2 linked regions of the Danio rerio genome follow. The protein of the gene in region 2 interacts with the protein of the main gene of each other region in a biochemical or structural test. Links are inferred from orthologs where the notes say so. Each region holds a gene or a part of one and is shown on either strand. Other genes may lie near its edges.

The links. The genes of interacting proteins can lie anywhere in the genome.
Region 1: the proteins of btk (region 2) and ibtk form a complex in vitro, tested with the Homo sapiens proteins (2 studies listed by BioGRID). The link is inferred for Danio rerio from reciprocal best matches to the Homo sapiens genes BTK and IBTK.

The regions. Positions count from the first base shown.
Region 1 is NC_133191.1:5,078,850-5,082,508, forward strand, and holds part of ibtk (inhibitor of Bruton tyrosine kinase), read left to right. Parts: intron 1-1,219; coding exon 1,220-1,855; intron 1,856-3,659. UniProt on the Homo sapiens protein: Acts as an inhibitor of BTK tyrosine kinase activity, thereby playing a role in B-cell development. Down-regulates BTK kinase activity, leading to interference with BTK-mediated calcium mobilization and NF-kappa-B-driven transcription.
Region 2 is NC_133189.1:43,499,623-43,503,281, reverse strand, and holds part of btk (tyrosine-protein kinase BTK), read left to right. Parts: coding exon 1-52; intron 53-2,596; coding exon 2,597-2,679; intron 2,680-3,152; coding exon 3,153-3,280; intron 3,281-3,659. UniProt on the Homo sapiens protein: Non-receptor tyrosine kinase indispensable for B lymphocyte development, differentiation and signaling. Binding of antigen to the B-cell antigen receptor (BCR) triggers signaling that ultimately leads to B-cell activation.

The sequences.
Region 1 (3,659 bases), on a different chromosome or scaffold from region 2:
TTAAATCTCTAATAAAATAAAATAAAATGGATTTCAATATTATTTTTATTATTTTAAATGTAATTTATATATATTATTTATTTTATTTTTATTTTTGATATATTTTTTAGTGCTGGGCAATGATTAATTGTGATTAACCATAACCAAAATAAAAGTTTGCTTTGAAATAAAATGTGTTTATATACAGTTGAAATCAAAATAAATTGGCCCTCTTGTGGTATTTTTTTCCACTCTTTTAAATATTTACAAGATTTTGTCCAAACAGAGCAAGGAATTTCTCATAGTATTTCCTATATGTATTTTTCTTCTGGAGAAAGTCTGATTTGTTTTATTTCGGCTACAATAAAAGCAGTTTTTAATAAAAAAAAAACAGTTAAGGTCAATATTATTAGCCCCATTAAGCTATATTTAGTTATTATTATCTAAAAAAATAGTTTTTGTATGTAGATATAAAATATATGTTTATATAATACAAAATCTACTGTATATACACATTTAAATATCTATGTAACAAATTATTTTGTATAGTTCTGTTTCTATAAACAAATTTTTATTTTGGTTATGATTAATAATGAATAATCATTGCCCAGCACAAAAATAATTTTATAAAATACATAAAATGAAATAAAATAATATATAAATTGAATAAAATTTTAATAAATAAAATAGAAATAAATCTTTAAATATATATATATATATATATATATATATATATATATATATATATATATATATATATATATTTATCATAGATTAAATAAAATAAAACATTTAAATTAAATCAAAATAAATTTAAATGAAAATTAAATTTAAATTAAATTAGATAGAATGCAGAAAGAAAAAAAACAGTTATTAATTTTTTATAAACCATTTTAAAGTCAATATTATTAGCTCCCTTAAGCAATATTTTTTTCGATAGTCTACAGAACAAACCACTGTTACACAATGACTTGCCTAATAAATCTAACCTGCCTAATTAACCTAGTTAAGCCTTTAATGTAATTTTAATCTGAATACTAGTATCTTGAAAAATATCTAGTCAAATATTATGTACTGTCATCATGGCAAAGATAAAATAAATCAGTTATTAGAACTGAATCATTAATGATATCTTTAGAAATGTTGAAAACAATCTTCTCTCCGTTAAAAAGAAATTGGAGGGGAAAAAAAAGCTCATTTTTGTGCTCCAATTGATTCTTAATCTGTTCTTCATTCACAGCCTGTATGAAGTGCCCTCGATCTCTGCGTCCTCCTTCTCCCAGCACCTCCAGCGACTACTTGCCGAAGCTGATGAGACTGACAACATCCACGACATCACCCTTCAGGCTGGCGATCGCACCTTCCCCGCTCACAAATACATTCTGTCTGTTCGCTCCGACTTCTTCCGGAAAATCCTGTTGCCAGAGGCCGAGAGAGAGGGTGATGGAGAGGTGAGGCGGGGAGAGGACGCGGTGGGCTGTGACCTGTTGGTGCTGGAGAAGATTCCCCCGGAGCTGCTGGAGCAGGCGCTGAACTTCATCTATACTGACTCCTGTGATATGCTGGTGGATGGGGCCTGTCCCATCATTCCTCGCTGCAACCGGAGCTCCAAGCCGGAACCTGAGGAAGTGCTAGAGCCTGAGTCAGAGCAGCTCATCCACAGTCTGCAGGTTCTGGGTCTGGAGAAACGCTCCGCTCTAGATGTCTACCGCTCTCTTCCAGTACAGATGCGGAAGGAAGCAGAAAAGCCGAAAACAGCAGGCAAAAACAACAAATCTGGGAAAAAAGTAAAAAATGTTGCTGAAAATGGACAAAACCCTGTGAAGATGCTGCAGGGAGTCGCCAAAAAACTGGGCCTAGGGAGTCTGTCAGCACGGTAAACATATTTTATTTATTTAATATATAATCTTTTTTTAAAAATCATTTTTCGTATGTATGTACAGTGCATCCGGAAAGTGTTCATAACGCTTCAATTTTTCCAAATTTTTTTATTTTACAACCTAATTGCAAATTGGATTAAATAATTTTTTTCCTCAATTCTACATGCAATCCCCCATAATGACAGTGTGAAAAAAAGTTTTTGAAATTGTTGCAAATTTATTAAAAATAAAAAAACCTGAAAAATCACATGTACATCAGTATTCTCAGCCTTTACCGTGAAGCTCTAAACTGAGCTCAGGTACATTCTGTTCCCACTGACCACTCTTGAGATGTTAAAGCAGCTTAATTGGAGTTCACCTGTGGTAAATTTAGTTGATTGGACATGATTTGAAAAAGCATACACCTGTCTATATAAGGTCCCAGAGTTGACGGTGCATGTCAAAGCACAAACCAAGCATGAAGACAAAGGAATAGACCTCGAGGCACAAGGCTGGGGAAGGTTACAGAAACATTTCTGCTGCTCTGAAAGTTCTAATGAGCACAGCAGCCTCCATCATCCGTAGGTGGAAGATGTTTAACCACCAGGACTCTTCCTAGAGCTGGCCGCCCATCTAAGCTGAGTGATCAGGGGAGAAGGGCCTTAGTCGGGGAGGTGATCAATAACCCGATCATCACTCTGGTTGAGCTCCAGCGTTCTTCTTTGGAGAGGGAGACCTCACAGAAGGATAACCATCTGTGCAGCAATCTACCAATCAGGCTCGTATGGTTGAGTGGCCAGACGGAAGCCACTCCCCGCCTGGAAATTGCCAAAACGCATCTGAAGGATCCTCAGACCATAAGAAACTAAATTCTCTGCTCTGATGAGACTAAAATTGAACTCTTTGGAGTGAATGCCAGATGTTACATTTGGAGAAAACCAGGCAGCGCTAATCACCAGGCTAAAACCATCCCTACAGTGAGGCATGGTGGTGGCAGCATCATGCTATGGGGGTGTTTTTCAGCAGCAGGAACTGGAAGAATAGTCCGGATAGAGGGAAAAATGAATGCTGCAATGTACAGAGACATCCTGAATGAAAACCTGCTTCAGAGCCCTCTTGAACTCAGACTGGGGGGACGGTTCATCTTCCAGCAGGACAATGACCCAAAGCACACCACCAATATATCAATGAAGTGGCTTCACAACAACTCGTTGAATGTCCTTGAGTGGCCCAGCCAGAGCCCAGACCCAAATCTTATTGAACATCTCTGGAGAGATCTGAAAATGGCTGTACACCGTCACTTCCCATTCAACCTGATAGAGCTTTAGAGGTACTGCAAAGAGGAATGGGCAGAAATAGACGGGTGTGTCAAGCTTATGGCATCATATTCAGAAAGACTTGAGGCTGTAATCGCTGCCAAAGGTGCATCAACAAAGTATTGAGAAAAGGCTGTGAATACTGATGTACATCTGATTTTTCAGGTTTTTTATTTGTAATAAATTTAAAACAATTTCAAAAACTCTATTTTCACATTGTCATTATGGGGGATTTTGTATCGAATTTTTAATGAATTTAATCAATTTTGGAATAAGGCTGCAACATAAAACATGGAAAAAGGGAAGCGCTATGAATTCTTTCCGGATGCACTGTACATGCATGCCTGTGTGAATTTATACATTCATAATCAATACACACAGTACACACACTTAAGTTATGTCTAAACAAAATTGTTTTTGCAGAGCACTAATATTTTCATCAATTTTTCCTATAAAGTTAACCCTTAGTTTGCATCTTACATCCTAACCCATTCTGCATTTGAGC
Region 2 (3,659 bases):
GTACTGCAAGAACATCAACCGCAGTCAGGCAGAAAATTTACTAAAAACAGAAGTAAGTATGGAGCCGTGGTGGCACAATAACATGATTGGTTTATTAATGTGTCTGTAACTTTTACATTGTAATGATTATTTAAATGTGGGACAACCAGGAGAGTAATTTCTTCTGGAGACTTCAAAATCCCCCCTGTATTAGGCTTAGACAATCATATAGTTTGTTTTAATATTATTATTAACATATGAAGAGTTTAGATGCAAAAACCTATAAGTGCCGTCTGAAATGTCCATCAAAAATGAGCATTTTTGTCAGCCTCCTTTGTTTATGTTGAGATATTTCACTTTAAAGACCATAAAAAGGAATTACTATTTGCCATAAAAGTGATACTACTAAACCCACACACAGGAGCCTGATCAAAACGCTCACTCTAAAACAAAATTTCAGACGGCATTTAGAGGTTTTTGCATCTGAACCCTTCATATTATTATATTTTACAGAATACACCTGTTGATGTTAGTCTAATGGTTTGTGCTGCACAGAAAATGATCATAAAGGGGGTTTATGCATGAAAGACATTTAATAATGATCAATATTTTCATATCATTTGCCTACATATTAAGTTTGCTGCTGAGATATGCTTTGCATATCTTATATATTATATTAGTAATTGATATTACAAAATAGTTCATAATTTATTTACATGTAATTTTGAATTAAACTTGTTTAATCTGCCTAATTGTTTCCTGGGTTTTTTATCACCATGTTCCATAAATGTATGTTAATACAGGAAATGAGATTTGAATTGAAAAAATATCCCGCATTTTGTGTGTCCCCCATCCCCTTCCATCCTCTTCCAAAAACCAAAATAGGGTATATGCACAGCTAGATTTGATACTCTTCCGGTGAACAGTTAATGTGACCTTTTTCAATTCATATGGTCCCTATTACAGAATCGATGTTGTAATCTAAATAAAATACACTCACCAGCCACTTTATTAGGTACACCTGTCCAACTGCTTGTTATCACACATTTTGAATCAGCCAATCACATGGCAGCAACTCAATGCATTTAGACATGTAGACATGGTCAAGACGATCTGCTGTAGTTCAAACCGAGCATCAGAATGGGGAAGACAGGGGATTTAAGTAACTTTGAACATGGCATAGTTGTTTGTGCCAGATGGGCTGGTCTGAGTATTTCAGAACCTGCTGATCTACTGGTATTTTCACATACAACCATCTCTAGGGTTTACAGAGAATGGTCTGAAAAAGAAGAAAATATCCAGTGAGCACAGTTCTGTGGGCACAAATGTCTTGTTGATGCCAGAGATCAGAGGAGAATGGCCAGACTGGTTCGAGCTGATAGAAAGGTAACAACAAAGGTAACAACAGTAACTCAAATAACCACTTGTTACAACCGAGGTATACAGAAGAGCATCTCTAAACGCACAACACGTCAAACCTTGACGCGGATGGGCTACAGCAGCAGCCACTCCTTTCAGCTAAGAACAGGAAACTGAGGCTACAATTCACACAGGTTCACCAAAACTGAACAATAGAAGATTTGAGAAATGTCACCTGCTCTGATGAGGCTCGATTTCTGTTGCCACATTCGGATGGTCAGAATTTGGCCTCAACAACATGAAAGCATGGATCCATCCTGCCTTGTATCAGTGGTTCAGGCTGCTGGTGGTGGTGTAATGGTCTGGGGTAGATTTTCTTGGCACACTTTGGGTTTATTAGTACCAATTGAGCATGGTGTGTGAGTATTGTTGCTGACCATGCCTATCCCTTTATGAGCATGAGTGTCTCCATCTTCTGATGGCTACTTCCAGCAGGATAAAACGCCATGTCATAAAGCACCAATCATCTCAGACTGGGTTCTTGAACATGACAATGAGTTCACTGTACTCAAATGGCCTCCACAGTCACCAGAGCTCAATCCAATAGGGCACCTTTGGGATGTGGTGGAAAGAGAGATTTGTATAATGGATGTGCAGCTGACAAAGATTTCAATATGGACAAACATCTCTGAGGAATATTTCCAGTACCTTGTTGAATCTATGCCACGAAGTATTAAGGCAGTTCTGAAGGCAAAAAAGGGGTCCAACCCGGTAAATGTGTACCTAATAAAGTGGCCGTTGAGTGTATAATTAGTTAAATAGACATCAGCATTCAAGCTTAAAACGAGATGAAAAGCTGTTTACACGCACATGCCCATCAGGATCAGGTCAGCATTAGCAGGCGAGCACAGAAAGTCTGTTAAAATATACTGAGGTAAAATACATTTTCATATTTTAAAGACATGGCGTGGGAAAATGTAATTTAATGCAGTGCTTCCTGCTCAATCTGAGACCGACTTTATATCGTATACCAATCAGGCAGTGAAGATGGTTGATTTTTAAAGTAAACAGACCTTAAACTCGCAAATTTTGTAACAGCATACAGTTCACCGGAAACATCTGACCCAGGTTACTGAAAAATGTAAAGTCCTTCTGTATACTTCTGCATATACCCTATTAAACCATTGTGTGAAACCAACTTGAATTCACCATATATGTTTGTTTACTATGCAACTTTTTTTTTCTAAAATTAACATAGAACAAAGATGGCGGTTTCTTGGTGAGAGACTCTGGCAAATTCACTGGAAAATACACTGTTTCTGTGTTCACCAAGGCTGGAGGGTGAGTTTGATCAAGTTACACATTTGTTTCACTGTTAACTTATCGAAATGAAAGTGGAAAACTGACCCAGCCGGAACAGCGATATCAATCCCTCCATGCAAAGTAGGAAAAGTCACGCTGTGTAAATTGTCACGAGATTGTTATTGTCGCTCTCTCAATTGCCCTTTGTAAGATGAACGGTGACCTGAGTTGATCATGTGGGTATGAATTTACAATAAGACCATACATTTATAATGCACAAACAGTATTTATTCATCTTTGTTAAGTCAGTTAATGGGAGATAAAGTTGATCACTGTTAGCTCACGGTGCATTAACTAATGTTAATTAGCTTTAATATGGATTATAATAATGCATAAGTAAGAGTTTAACTATAATTTATATGCTTTACAGGTGTTGTTCATTAATAGTTCATGTTAGTAAATATATTTAATAAGCTTACTGTAAAGTGTGAACTTCATTTCTGGTCTTGCAGGGAGACTTCTGGCAGCTGCAGACACTACAACATACTGCTCACTGCAGACGGCCAGTTCTATCTAGCGGAGAAGCACAACTTTACCAATATCCCAGAGCTTATTAATTACCATCAGCACAATGCTGCAGGTAAATATCACCTCAGTCTTGGGTAGCATCACTCAGAGGGGCCATTTTTCAATAGGCAAGGCAGGTAAGGCCTTGACAATGACAGTCCATAAAGCCCCGTTCAGACTGCATGATTTTTATTGTTAGCTACAGTCACTGTGTCAGATTTTGACTAGATAAAATCTTGACGTTTGGTGGGTACCAAATATGCAAATGACTTCGCAATCAATCACCGTGTGACCACTGCGACACGCATGCTGTTATCAAGAAGCTGCATGAATAACAAATCATAGCACATCCGAATGCTAAATGCTAATGAGTTTTCCCTTGTGTGTGTTTTCTGAAGAAAACAGTAGATGAGTAGTTCATTCTGTGCCAGTAAACAGCAAAACAGTTTCCC